2 linked regions of the Elephas maximus indicus genome follow. The main gene of each other region encodes a partner of the protein of the gene in region 2 in a complex. Links are inferred from orthologs where the notes say so. Each region holds a gene or a part of one and is shown on either strand. Other genes may lie near its edges.

Region 1 (8,011 bases), on a different chromosome or scaffold from region 2:
CTCAGACTGACTCCCAGGTTCCTCCCTTCGATAATTGAGTTGATGGTGGTGGTGCCTGTAAAACAAGATCAGAAAAAGAGGAAGAACCTATTGATTCCCCAGACCACTGCAATTTGCTTTCTGTCTTGACTGTTCCATAAAACGATCATACATGACTTCTAGCTGCCAGATCTGAGCACTCTCTTCAGTCTTCATCTTAAATGACTATGCTCACCCTTTCACAGCTTTCTCCTCCCTTGGCTCCTTTGAAATCATTCTCTCCTAGCTCTCCTGCTTCTATTACTATTCTTTCTCATTGTCCTTTGCTGGGTTCTCTTCAATATATAAAGTTAATCCCCTTAAGTATTCTATCCCAGTCCTTCTCTTCTTGCCATACACATCCTCCTTGTTTGTTGATCCCAGTCATCATCCTGGCTTCAAACCTGACCTGAGGAGTAATGACTTGTAAATCCCTAACTTCAGTCCAGATCTCTCTCCTAAGATCTAGCCCCTCTCAGGGAGGAAATTTTGTTTGGAAAAATAACTATTTCTCTTTAGAGTAGAAGGTGAGACCCCAAGGGCACAAAAGAGATCCAAGCTGTTCCATAACAGAAATCAATAGGAATCTAGGGGTAGAAGGCTAGTTGGCGGTGGGGAAGGGATGAGAGAGAGGTTAACATAACAAAGCAGGACTTTGAAGAACAGGATTGCCTCATACTCAATGTTAGATTATTCATGTAAATGCTTCTCCAAATTTCCCAAACCTTCAATTTAATATGGTTCACTCACAATGGTTCTGGGTTATTTTTGGTTTTTGGTGTGGAAATCATGGGAACAGGTGCACTCAATATCTGGGTCCGTTTATTCCAGTAAAAGGATAACCTGTGCAGGATGACAAGTGATTTCTTAACTGAAATAACTCTGTTCTGGCAGGAGCTCTGAGCCAGAGGTGGCCATGAGAAAGTAAGCTTACCAGTTTGCAGAAATCAAGGAGATGACACCGGACATGTTCCAAATTGTGGACTGGGAGCCTGGGCCAATCTTATCCAAGGCATAAGGAACATGTTGATGCCAACAGACGTTTGGGTTACAAATGCATCCATAACACTTCACTGCACTTTTTGATTTGTGTCTATTGCTCTGACTAGACTATAACGTTCTTGGGAGCAGAAAGCATCTCATCATTAAATTTTTCTCCCAAGAGCCTGGCAAAGTGCCCACATATGTTTATAAACTATTTGTGCAGTAAATAGATGACTTAAAGAGTGGCTGAATGAGCCATACTTTTATTGAAGAGATCATCCTTCTAGATGCTAAAAACACCCAGAATAACAGGTGGAGCTGAACTGGAAGGGAAGTCCATTAGGTAGGTGTCCAAATCTGCAAAGAACTTGGAGAGACAGACCTGGGACTGATAGATATTACAAAAACGCTAAAGAGGATGGTAAAGCCAGATAGTACAAGGCTTGAAGGAGAAAGGACTTTTGCACCTAGGTGGCCTAGAAATCCCAATGGGAAACAAACTGAATGCCAATACTGCCTCCTGGTGGCGTCTGGGATAAACGCCTCTATGCCGGAACACAAGGAACCTTGGTAAGCACTCAGCTGCTAACTGAAAGATCAGCAGTTCAAACCCACCAGGTGCTCCATGGGAGAAAGATGTGGCAGTCTGCTTGCATAAATATTACTACCTGGGAAGCCCTATGGGGCAGTTCTACTCTGTCCTACAGGGCCGCTATGAGTCAAAATCAACACAACAGCAAAAAATCATGACAGAACACCTTTAAGGAATAAATAGCCTTCTCACATTGAGTGGCTCTGAGTCATGGACTGTGCCAGACACTCCTTTAACTCTCATAACAACCCCATGCAGACTCAGCATGTAGCTTAGGGGTTAAACGCACAGGCTCTGGAGCCAGGCTGTCTGGCTCCCCACTTACTAGCTGTGACCTTGGACAAATTAAGTTTTCTATGCTTATTTCCTCATCTGTAAAAGAGAAATAATACTAACACCTACCACATAGATTCTTATAAGGAATAAATTCTTAAAATGGTACCTGATGGCATAGTAAGTGCTATATAAATATTAAATATATATATAAATATTAGCTATTATTATTCCCTTTTTCCTGATGAGAAAACTAATGTTAAACAAACCAAGCATATAGCAGGAACTCAATAAATATAACTTCCTTTCCCTTCTCCCCTTATGTCTTAGCTCCTTACTTAAGATATTGTCCTCCTTAGCAACCCTGGAATTTAAATAGGGGACTCCTGAAGAGCCTAAAGAAGTCAGTTCCTAAAGGTAGCAACAAGGAAGATGAGAAATTTCCATTTGATGGGAAGCTGAGAAATCTCCATTTAAAAGTCCAGTGCGCATCGCAGCACTGTTCACAATTGTCAAAAGATGGAAATAACCTAAATATCCATCAAGAGATGAATGGATAAACAAAATGTGATCCACACATACAATGGAATATTATTCTGCCACAAAGAGAAATGAAGTCCTTATACATGCTACAACACGGATGAAACCTAAGAACATTATGCTGAATTAAATAAGTCCATGACAAAAGGACAAATATTGTTTGAGTCCACTTACATGACACAGGCAAACGCACAGAGACTGCAGCGCAATGGATCACTTTCATATGGCCTTTCTCACCATGGTCTTGTATCTCCCACCCAAGTAACTGGGTGAGAGTATACAAATAAGGTAATTGTGGCCCACCAAGAGGATTGGATAGCTTGCTAATAATGCAAATAAAGTTCATGGCACCCCTGTGCAGGTGGGACCATGCAAATGAGGTCTATGGAAAACTAACAAAAGGACTGGTCAGTTTTGCCATCCCACTAGCCTTAAGATGAGCCATCCCAGAGGCAGGAGGAGAGGATCTCACCACTGCTAAGAAGAGCCAGGAGTGGAGCACATCCTGTGGACCTGGGATCCCTATGCTAAGAAGCTCCTGGAATCAGACCAAGAAAAAGAGAAAGAGAAAGCTGTAACATGAAGATGGCGAGAAGTGGCAGCAGAGAAACAAAGGCAGGAGTTGGCACAGTAGGCTTTCCAGGCCTACGGAGCAAGAAAGCTTAGTGCCTTTGAGCAGGAGTCTTGCTGGCAAAGTTGGGTGCTTCCTTTGTGACCCACGGAGCTAGAGGTGAGCCTTCCAGCAGGGGCTTACTGGCAGAGTGGTGTGCCTCGGGGCACTTATCAGCAGAGCTGAAAGTTTTGTAACACTTGCCCAAGCAGGGTAGAGCCTAAGGGGCCAAAAGAACTTTATAATGCTTGCCCAAGCAGGGCAGTGGGCAAGGGGCCAGAGAGAGGCAGGCATGGCTGGGAAGAGGCTGTCCTGATCGAAGAACTGTATCCTAAGCATTCCTGAACCTGAATTGTAACCTGTCACTTCCCTAATAAACCCATAATCCTGAGCATTGTCAATGAATTATAGAACTCAGCAAAGAAGTAGGGAGTGCCATGGGAGGGACAGTTGGTGTGAGAATTGATGAAGAGGGTGGAGGGTGGAGGCATGTGTGACCTCCACCTCACAGGAATCAGCCCTGGGCTGTTGATCATGATTCTCCTTCCTCCTTGTGAAATCAGAGGTTAGACGCCGCCCCCATGCCATTTTTAGAGAGATTGAAACCCTGGTGGCATAGTGATTAAGAGTTCAGCTGCTAACCAAAAGGTCGGCAGTTCAAATCCACTAGGCAGGTGCTCCTTGGAAACCCAATGGGGCAGTTCTACTCTGTCCTATAGGGTCGCTGTGAGTTGGAATCTGACTTGACGGCAACAGGTTTTTTTTGGTGGTTACCAAGGGTAGGAGGCAGGAGAGAGGGGAAGTCTTGGCTTAGGGGGCACTGAGTTTCTGTTAATCGTGGTGGAATAATCTGGAAATGGATCATGGTGCTGGTTGCACATGATAGAATGTAATCAGTATCACCAAACTGTACATGTAAAAAATTTTGAATTGATAAATGTTCTGTTATACAGTAAAATCTACGAAAGCCAGAACTTGTATAAGGTGAAAACCTGTCAGCAAAGGAAAACTCAAATACTTTCCACTAAAATGAGAGAGAGAAAAGTGGTAAGACTGCACCCTGTCAGAGACGGAAAAGTTGCAAGACCCGGAAAAACAAGGCAATCCCATTGAGTTCGGGTTCTCACAGGTTTCATAATTAAAGAATAAAAACAGTCCAAGGTGGATGTGGTTCCAGAAAGACCACTCTGCAAAGCATTCCTATTACTACTGGAAAAGTGAAGACCCTAAAGGCTCTGAAATTGACCCTACCCAAAACAGGATGCATAGGGGCTGTGAAAATTAACAATCAAGATTTGTGCAGGAAGCCAGATTTCTGGCAACATTAAAAAATATGATCTGCCCAGAGCCCACTGCAGACTAACTTGCCCACAGAAGCTGGGGGGTGATGATCATTTTCAAGATTAGGCTAATAAATCCATTTACGAAAGACTCTATTCTCTCCTGACTTTCCTACTATTACTGTGAAAATAATATTAATAATAATGGTTTTCAAGTGACAAGATACTCAACTAGATTATCAGGCTGCCCACCGCAACCCACATTTGCAATGAGATGTATCTTTTATTCAGTAGGGCTGATTGGCGTAACTGCCACATCAGTAGCAAACCGACTCTTTTCATACCCGTAAAGCTCACCATGATTCTGCAGGCTTCTCTAATTCATATTTTAGCGTTCCTGGGTGTTCTACTGAATTCAGCAATTCTTTGAAATATTAAAAGAACTAACTTCCAAACTCTCTTTAAAAAATGTCTGCATCGTTCGTTTTTTCTGAAACATTCATAAAGTTAGAACGGAATATCTTTATTACTCCACTTTAATAACCTAAGTCGATAAACCAAAAGTCTCACCTTTCAGAGACGTTCTTCCGGGAACGGACACTGTTTCCGCCCACGTGAACGGTGCTGTAGTGTCTGCGCGCCTGCGCCGAGCCCCTCGACTGGCCCATTCCCGAAGTAGAAACTACAAATTCCGGCGGTCCAGTCAGCCAGCAGGGCCCAGCGCGCCTGCGCAGTGACGGAAGCTTCGGCTGTACTTTTTTTTTACAGTTCCCGCCAATTCTTGGGGTAGTCGTGCTCTGGCATAATTCCGTGCCCCATGGAGGTGTTTGACCCTGCCGATCTGCCCGAACTGCTTAAGATTTATTACCGGAGGCTCTTTCCCTATGCCCAATACTACCGCTGGCTCAACTATGGCGGAGGTGATGCTGCGGAGAGCGGGTGGGTAGTGGGTTGGGAGGGCAGTGTAAGAAGGTTCTTGGCGGGATGTTCTCGGAATGACAATATGAAGTACCTCCTGCGAGCTAGGCATTGTGCCGGGCGCCTTGGTGCATTATCTTGAGCCCTCCTCACCTCCTCTGAGGCGGAAGGGGGCCGAGAGAGGCTACACTGATCAGCCTACGGACACACAGTGAAAGGCATAGCCGCTGCTCCTCCTCCTACGCGGTCAGGCTCACTTTAGGTGTCCAGTTGACCTGCCGCGGTGCCTAAGCAAGGGGGTTACTGGGTTGTAGCATGAAGGTACAGAGTCGTGATCTGTATCAGAGACAGAAGAGCGTCTCTGGGAGGAGGAGAAGTACTATCCTCTTGGCAGCTGATTTAATTTATTAATGCCTACCGGGGCGTTAGATTTTTAACATTTCTGCATTTTTTCTGCTCACTTTACTTTTCCCTAACAGTTGCGGAAGGATACATCCCTTCAAATGAGGTACTCTCTCTTGTCCCTTTTTTTTTTTTCCCTTTCTTTTTTACATCTAGTATAGTGTTGGGCACGGGGCTCACTAACTGTATTCTCATTTCTCAAATGCCATAATGCCCTGAACTGAGTAAGGTACCAAATTAGCTTTAAAATGTAAATTTCTTTTGCAGTGATAAAGAATTACTTTCAACACCGTGAATTTTCATTCACATTGAAAGATGATATTTACATTCGCTACCAATCCTTCAACAACCAGAGTGAGCTGGAAAAAGAGATGCAGAAAATGAATCCATACAAGATTGATATAGGTGCAGTATATTCCCACAGAGTAAGAAATCATTTTTATGTATTGTTTTATTTTCAAACCAAGGATGGGTTGGTGCCCCAGCCTTTGATATAAATTTTTAGAGTTTATTCAAGTTGAGGACCCATAATGTTTACTTAACTGCTTTTGCAGGTAGACTGGTAATCTTCTTTGTTTTTTGACATTCTACATTACTGACTGGAAATCGTTTGGGAGCGAATTGGTTACATTCCCACTAGGACAAAAAAATTTAGTATCTGGCTAAAAGACTAAATGAGGACGTCAACGTGGTTTAAGGGAGAGAGTAAAAAGTATTATATTCTCTTCCAGCATTGGTGTTATTCTTGACTCCTCTCTTTCTCTCACACTCCCACATTCTTTGCCTTAGGAAATCCCTTTGGCCCTACCATAATATATATCTATAACCCAACTACTGCTACCATCATTCTGTCTCACCTGTATTACTATAAAACCTAACAGTTTGCCTCTCCAGACCCTAAAATCTACTCTCAACACAGCAGCCAGAGTGATCCTCTTAAAACAAGTCAGATTCTGTGATCCTTCTGCTCAAAACCATTCTCCAGTGGCTCCCTATTTCACTGAGTGAAAAGCCGTTCTCTCCCTCTTACTCCACTACAGCTACACTGGCTCTTGCTCAAGCTGTCTCCACTGCCCAGAACACATTTCTCTAGATATCTGCTTGGCTCATTTCCTCACCTTCAAGTCTTTGCTCAAAGAGCACATTTTCAATGAGATCTGCTGCAACCTGCCACTCCTCCCACCCCCTGCCACTGACCTATCCTAGAATTGCCTAGAATAGTGGGTACCCCATAAATATTTGTCGAATACATGAATAAATCAGAATTGCTCTTCCCTTCTTTAAAAATACACACATGGGATGATAACTTTTGTATGGAGCTTTTTCGTATGCTGCTTAACTTGTTCCTCATATCAATCTTAATCTTTTTGCAGAGGAGAAAATGGGCCCAGGGAACTTAGTTTGCCCAAGGTCCCACAGTTTCTAAAAGATAGAGCTGGGACTTGAAGCCAGATTTTCTGACTCTAAATCCCAGGTTTGTCTCCCACCTGCAGAGTAAGGGGAAAAGAAGAGATAAGGAAAGGCAGGCAGCAAAAATGCTTCAGAACAGTTTACTGAAGAATAAAACTGAAGTCTCAAAAGAAGGGCCAGGATGCCATTCTGCTTCCTTGTCCCACTGAAGGAGGAAAAAAAAGTATCATTTTCTTATTGTGCCGAGAGAGGCATTTATAGACCTTTGTGTATGTGTTTTGTAAGGAGCCCTTGTGGCACTGTGGTTACGTGCTCAGCTGCTAACCAAAAGGTCAGCGGTTCAAACATACCAGCCATTCCACAAGATGTGACAGTCTGCTTCAGTGAAGATTTACAGCCTTGGCAACCCTATGGGGAAGTTCTACTTTGTCCTACAGAGTTGCTAATAGTCGGAATTGACTTGATGGCAGTGGGTTTGGTTTGGTCTTTGGTATGTGTTTTGTGATTTTTATCAGTTATATATGCCAATAGTTTATAGAATCAAGTAGTTCTATAGGCATTTTGAAAAAGTCTCCCACCTTTACCATCAGCTTCTGCTCCCCAGAGGCAACCACTTTATTTTAGCTGATTCTTATTTGCCTCATGTCTCTAAATAACATTGCTTATATTTCTTTCATTTTTCCATTTTAAGCATTATATATTGACTGTCCATCCTGGCAGATGAGGATTTAGCTTTCTTTCACCTCACCCTCTACCCTCACCACACACAAAACCTTCCCATGCCTAATTTATTATGCTCCTAATGTAAATTTTATTACTTTAAAATTTAGATTATAAATTCAACCCCAGACTCTTTGCCAGTTGTCTTCATCTCCCAATATATTCAGATCCATCAGGTAGTCTGTCAGTTTCATCTTGAAAACATTTCTCCTGGAGATTTCTGACCTCTCCAGTCTGGACTGATTACTGTTTAGGCCTGATGAA
Region 2 (7,110 bases):
AGCTGCAATAAACATGAGTGTGCATTTAAGATTTTTTTTTTAATCTGTTTGTGTGAAGGCTCTTATTTCTCTAGGGTATATTCCGAGGAGTGGGATTTCTGGGTTGTATGGTAGTTCTATTTCTAACTGTTCAAGGTAACGCCAGATAGATTTCCAAAGTGGTTGTACCATTTTACATTCCCACCAGCAGTGTATAAGAGTTCCAATCTCTCCGCAGCCTCTCCAACATTTATTATTTTGTGTTTTTTGGATTAATGCCAGCCTTGTTGAAGTGAGATGGAATCTCACCGTAGTTTTAATTTGCATTTCTCTTTTTTTTAATGGCTAATGACTGAGAGCATTTTCTCATGTATCTGTTAGCTGCCTGAATATCTTCTTTAGTGAAGTGTGTGTTCATATCTTTTGCCCACTTCTTGATTGCATGATAGAATTTTGCAAGACCAACGACTTCTTCATTGCAAATACCTTTATTCAACAACATAAATGGCAATTATACACATGGACCTTGCCGGATGGAATACACAGGAATCAAATCGACTACATCTGTGGAAAGAGATGATGGAGAAGCTCAATACCATCAGTAAGAACGAGGTCAGGAAACAACTACAGAACGGACCATCAATTGTTCATATTCAAGTTCAAGCTGAAGCTGAAGAAAATTAGAACAAGCCCATGAGAGCCAAAGTACGACCTCGAGAATATCCCACCTGAATTTAGAGACCTTCTCGAGAAAAGATTTGATGTGTTGAACACTAATGGCTGAAGACCAGATTAGTTGTGGAATGACATCAAGGACATCATACATGAAGAAAGCAAGCGCTCATTAAAAAGACAGAAAAGAAAGAAAAGACCAAAATGGATGTTAGAAGAGACTCTGAAAGTTGTTCTTGAACATCAAGTACCTAAAGTAAACAGAAGAAATGATGAAGTAAGAGCTGAACAGAAGATTTCAAGGGCAGGTCAAGAAGACAAAGTAAAGTATTATAATGACATGTGCAAAGACCTGTAATGAAATGTACAAAGACCTAGAAAACCAAAAGGGAAGAACATGCTCAGCCTTTCTCAAGCTGAAAGAACTGAAAAAAAAATTCAAACCTCGAGTTGCAATATTGAAAGATTCTATGGGGAAAATATTAAGCGATGCAGGAAGCATTAAAAGAAGATGGAAGGAATATACAGAGTCACTATAGTCAAAAGAATTAGTCGATGTTCAACCATTTTAGGAGGTAGCATATGATCAGGAACTGATGGTACTGAAGGAAGAGGTCCAAGTTGCACTGAAGGCACTGGCATAAAAACAAGGCTCCAGGAATTCACAGAATACCAACTGAGATGTTTCAACAAACAGATGCAGCACTAGAAGTGCTTACTCATCTATGCCAAGAAATTTGGAAGACAGCTACCTGGTCAACAACCGACTAAAGGAGATTCACAGTTATGCCTATTCCAAAGAAAAGTGATCCAAGCGAATGCAGAAATTATCGAACAATATCATTAATATCACATACAAGTAAAATTTTGCTGAAGATCATTCAAAAGCGATTTCAGCTGTACATGGACAGGGAACTGCCAGAAATTCAAGCTGGATTCCGAAGAGGACTTAGAACGAGGGATGAGAGCTGAACAGAAGATTTCAAGGGCAGCTTGAGAAGACAAAGTATTATAATGACGTGCTGACGTCAGATGGATTCTGGCTGAAAGTAGAGTACCAGAAAGATGTTTACCTGTGTTTTATTGACTATGCAAAGGTATTCGATTGTGTAGATCATAAAAAATTATGGATAACGTTGTGAAGAATGGGAATTTCAGAACACTTAATTGTGCTCACGAGGAACCTGTACATAGATCAAGAGCCAGTTGTTCAGACAGAACAAGGGGATACCGCATAGTTTAAAGTCAGTAAAGGTGTGCGTCAGGGTTGTATCCTTCCACAATACCTATTCAATCTGTATGCTAAGCAAATAATCCAAGAAGCTGGACTATACGAAGAAGAGTGGGGCATCAGGATTGGAGGAAGACTCATTAACAACCTGCGCTATGCAGATGACACAACCTTGCTTGCTGAAAGCAAAGAGGACTTGAAGCACTTACTGATAAAGATCAAAGACCACAGCCTTCAGTATGGATTTTGCCTCAACATAAAGAAAATAAAAATCCTCACAACTGGACCCATAAGCAACATCATGATAAGCGGAGAAAAGATTGAAGTTGTCAAGGATTTAATTTTACTTGGATCCACAATCAACATCCATGGAACCAGCAGTCAAGAAATCAAAGGAGGTTCTGCATTGGGTAAATCTGCTGCAAAAGACCTCTTTAAAGTGTTGAAAAGCAAAGATGTCACCTTGAAGACTAAGGTGCGCCTGACCAAAGCCATGGTGTTTTCAATCGCCTCATACGCACGCAAAAGCTGGACAATGAATAAGGAAGACTGAAAAAGAATTGACGCCATGGAATTATGGTGTTGGCGAAGAATACTGAATATACCATGGACTGCCAAAAGAACAAACAAATCTGTCCTGGAAGAAGTACAATCAGAATGCTCCTTAGAAGCAGGCGAGACTTCATCTCACATACTTTGGACATGTTATCAGGGGGTATCAGTCCCTGGAGAAGGACATCATGCTTGGTAGAGTGTCACCAAAAAAGAGGAAGACTTTCAACAAAATGGATTGACACAGTGGCTACGGCAAGGGGCTCAAGCATAACAACGATCGTGAGAATGGCGCAGGACTGGGCAGTGTTTTGTTCTGTTGTACGAAGAGTTGTTATGAGTCTGAACCGATTCAGTCGCACCTAAAAACAACAATATAGGCATGCAAAAGCTGGACAATAATAAGGAAGATCGAAGGAGAACGGATGCCTTTGAATTATGGTGTTGGCAAAGTGCATTGAATATACCATGGACTGCTGAAAAAACAAACAAATCTGTCTTGGAAAAAGTACAGCCAGAATGCTCCTTAGAAGCGAAGTTGGCGAGACTCTGTCTTGTGTACCTAGGACATGTTATCAGGAGGGACCAGTCCCTAGAGAAGGACATCATGGTTGGTAAAGTAGAGGGTCAGTGTAAAAGAGGAAGACCCTCAACAAGATGGATTGACACAGTGGCTTCAACAATGGACTAAAACATAGTAACGATTGTGAGGATGGCATAGGACTGAGCAGTGTTTCCTTCTGTTCTACATAGGCACTGTTGTACAGTGGCACCTAACAACAACATAATCACGATCCTGTTATCACATGTAAGAAATTTAACATCAGCATAATAATATGTCATCTTAAATTCTCCAATGTTCCCAAATAATATCCTTTACAGTTTTTTGTTTTGTTTTTAATACTCAGGACCCAATCGAGACTCAAGTTGTTGTTTCTCTTTAATCTCCTTTAGTACACCTTTTTGTCTTTCACAACATAGACTTTTTGCAAGAGTTCAGGCCAGATATTTTGTAGATTGTCTTACACTTTGTATACATCTGATTGTTTCCTCATGGTTAGATTTAGCTTAAACATTTTTTTTTTTTTGCAAGAAGCCCAGATAGCTGGTGTTGGCTTTTTGACGTGCATCCCATCAGGAGGCATACGACGTCAGACTGCTCCTTGTTAGCGATGCTTTTGTTTGTGTGTGTGTGATGCTATTTAGTTAAGATGGTGTATATATCTTTAAGTGGTAACTTACTCAAAAATAAAAATTATACAAGCAAAGCATCAATTAAAACTCAGAGCGCGCAGCAGGAGGCAGTCGCTTTCTCAGGCTCCAGAGGAAATGGTACAACCACGCCCATGTTCCGCCCGCCCGCGCCTCTTTTCCCGAAAAATCAAGTCTCAGAACCAAAGAGCCGCTACTTCTACGTGCCCAAATCTTTTCTCATCAGCATGCGTGCGCCTGCGCAGCCCGTCTCCAGAAGGTTCCTTTTCAGCGCCCGACCGCTTCTTTCTCTTGCTCTCCTTCGGCCTCTGCTCAGCTGAAGCTTCCCCTAAGGGGTCATCACAGGGCGCCAAACGCGAGGCCGCGGGAAGGCCGGGGGCGGGGCGCGGCTCGTCGCTGCGCCGCACGTAAGTGGCCTTCCGGGCGGAAGTCCGCAGCCTCGCTAGCCGCTGATTGGCTTTCGGGCTGGTGCCTGTCTCGGCCCCCGCGCCAGTTTCGGGCTAGTTGGCGCGGAATCGGGAGAGTCGGAAACCATGGCGCCGGTGCACAGCGACGATTGCGAGCCGGGGGCGAGCGGTGAGGGTCAGCCCCGCGCGCGGGATGCTCGGTTGGGAGTTCAGGGACCATAGCATGATTGCGGGTGGTGGGGATTCTGGAGGTCTCTATTTTTTCTAAGCGAAGCACGCTCCCAGATCGCCCCGCGGGTCTGTTCGGGCGAGGACTACAGATGGTCTTGGGCGGGGTTCTTTCTGGCTTTGGACGAGAACTTCTGTGCCAGGACTGTTTACTCCTAGCAAACCCGAGCAATCCCCTGTGGGGCTTTTTGTTTGGGAAGCTGCCTCAGCTCTGTCACTGCGGGTCAGAGCACCTGCCTTTCATTTCTTTTGGTGAGTCGCACCCCACGTGTTGGGCACACCGTCATCGAGACTGGTCTCAGTGGGGGCACTGCCTTGGCTGCAAGTGTTTTACTTCTTCCTCAAGTATCCGCTTCAGGGCTAGGACAGGACAGATGTACGTCCCCCTTTCTAGGAACTCCAGGGAAATTGTTATACATTGGAACTAAGGAAAGAAAGCTCTAAGTGCCATCACTAGAGAGAAAAGCGTTTCGTCTTTCTAGGTAATGGGTTTCTGCTTTATGCATTAACAATTTTTCTTTCAGATTCTTCCATGGAAAGCTGTTCAAGTGCTTCATACAAATAGTGTGCACAATCTAGTCGCTTCGGGTGAAGTTTTTTTTTTTTTAAAGGATCGGTTCAGTGGCACTTTAGATGCCCTATATCTCACTCGGTTTGTCGGTGGTAATCTCTTATTCCCCAGAATAGAATATGAAAATGCAAATGGCTTTCTCTGATTTCAGATTTTTGAACGGCGTTCAACTAAAGTGTGACTTAACTTCAGTGAACTTCTAACTTAAAATCAGATGCTTCACTGTCTTAGCTCAAGCATTTCATCTGTCACTCAGATACATCACCATTAATGAGAACTGGCTGCCTAATCAGCTTCCTTTGCATTCACCTGGTTGTAAATCACAGATTTCAATTTGCTCTTGCCCTTGGTTTTTTGAGACAATTTATTTTGGAGAGTCGACTAGCGTGGATTACAAATGGGATTTAGAATGTGAGTGTGAACAGTCTTTTCAGCTGTATGTCAGTGATTTGCCACTAAGCCCTTTTCTCGCCCTAAAAACTGTATGTCATCTGTGAGCATCAAGAAATCACTCCCTGAAGGATACTGTGCAGTCCTGAGATCGCTTTTAAGTTATGGTGTTGATTAAGTAGTTGCTAGGCTTGTGACTGGAATCTTTCCTTTAGAGCCGACTGAAAGGTTGTTGGCTGAGAGTCTGTTGCAGGCTAGTGTCTGTCTGCTTTTTGGGAGAATAGGGGTGCTCCAGAGGGTAATTTTGAGCCAGATATTTAACGTTTTATAACTGGATTTTTTCGTGCTTTTTCTTTTTTTTGCTAACTTATTATGTGAAGCATTGGAGATGTATTTCAAAAAGGAAAATCCAGGTCTTTTTTTTTTTTTCCTTAAGTATTAGGACATATGGTACCTTGACAAAGGCAGCAAAAAGGTGAAAGGTCTGTAAGTAGCCATTATATATGAGAAGGACTCCGGTAGAGCTTAACGATTAAAAAAAAAAAGGCAAGTAAATGGTTCATGAATTTGTTTATTCAGCAAATAATTATTATGTACCTACTAGGCTTTTTTTTTACTAGGCTTAGGTATTCTGTCAGGCTGTAGTGTTACAGTGGTGGGTAGGCTGGATGTAATTTCAGTCCTCATGGAGTTGAGATGTTGCAGTGCTATATTGAGGCTTCCCTGAGAGAGTGGCTTTGTTTAATTTTGCTTTCTAGAAGATAGGCCACAGTACTGCATGTGTGTGTGACTACCCTGCAGCTATACACACACATTAAAATAAACCTCTCCTATTTATATTGCTAAATATGAAGTAAGATAAACATCTTCATTTAACCCTTACCAACTTTACGAAGCAGACATGATTATCCCAGTTTCACAGATGAGGACACTGAGGCTCTGCATTAGCCAGAATCCTTAGTTGCAAGCTACAGGAACCAACTCTAACTGATTTAGTCAGAAAAGGAATTTATTGGAAGGACACTGTGGTGTTCACAGAAACTCTTAAGAGGGCTGGAGAGCCAGTCTGGGGCTGCTTAGCCGGGAACAGTACTTAAAATCATGCCATAAAACTGGTCCAGTGAGGAAGTCATTGCTAACGTGGCCAAGTACTTGATACTATAACTTGTATCTTGGGGTATTGCTGGCGCTGTTACCGCAGGCACTCAATCTTCCTGTAGGCGTCACTACTTCTAGACTTTTCCTTAAGTCAGCCTCCTTCACTTCCTTGTGACATTACCTTCTGATTTAAAGCCTGAGGAGGTGTTCCTAATTGGTAGAGCCTATTATATGCCCATGCCTTAGTTGCAAGGGAGTCTGGGAAAAAGCTTCTGACACAGACCTTTTTTCAGCTATTGAGTGGGGCCTGGGCCCTGTCTTCCATCAAGACTTATAAGGGGGGAATTTCACAAACAGGTTCAGATGCTGGGCAACTTAAAAAAAAAAAAAAGACAACTGCCCATTGCAGGCTCAGAGAGGTTAACTCGTCTAATGCCACCCAGTAAATGGCAGCGCTGGGATGTGCTGCTTCCCCCAGATCTCCCAGTTCTCCTATTCACTCTACACTCAACCTTCCATGCTGACTTTCTTTCAGTTCCTGAATACACCTTGCATTTTTATCCTTTGTAATTTGGCTCATGCCTTTTCCTCTGCTTATGCCACTTTTTGACCCTGTTCACTTATGGTGAAATTCTACTCTTCTTTGTGAGCCTCTGTTGGAAATCTGCCCTGTGAAGCCTTTCCTGATTTCCCAGGCAGAATTAACTGTTCTCTTCTCAACCTTACGTCTTATAGGGTGCCATATTTATATTATGCTGGTAGCCTGAGGC

Evidence for each region.
Region 1: the proteins of POLA1 (region 2) and PRIM1 are in contact, whole or in part, in a cryo-EM structure (PDB 7OPL), measured with the Homo sapiens proteins. The link is inferred for Elephas maximus indicus from reciprocal best matches to the Homo sapiens genes POLA1 and PRIM1. Residues at the interface, in NP_058633.2 of Homo sapiens: Tyr439, Ala440, Pro447, Glu448, Lys449, Ser450, Phe876, Thr877, Thr878, Gln880, Leu906; in NP_000937.1 of Homo sapiens: Asn92, Thr93, Val94, Lys95, Leu96, Gly97, Ala98.

What each region holds. Positions count from the first base shown.
Region 1 is NC_064822.1:116,653,872-116,661,882, reverse strand, and holds the start of PRIM1 (DNA primase small subunit), read left to right. Parts: upstream 1-4,999; 5' UTR 5,000-5,114; coding exon 5,115-5,217; exon of another isoform or gene 5,218-5,236; intron 5,237-5,884; coding exon 5,885-6,042; intron 6,043-7,828; exon of another isoform or gene 7,829-8,011. UniProt on the Homo sapiens protein: Catalytic subunit of the DNA primase complex and component of the DNA polymerase alpha complex (also known as the alpha DNA polymerase-primase complex - primosome/replisome) which play an essential role in the initiation of DNA synthesis.
Region 2 is NC_064846.1:154,224,566-154,231,675, reverse strand, and holds the start of POLA1 (DNA polymerase alpha catalytic subunit), read left to right. Parts: upstream 1-4,098; 5' UTR 4,099-4,179; coding exon 4,180-4,222; intron 4,223-7,110. UniProt on the Homo sapiens protein: Catalytic subunit of the DNA polymerase alpha complex (also known as the alpha DNA polymerase-primase complex) which plays an essential role in the initiation of DNA synthesis.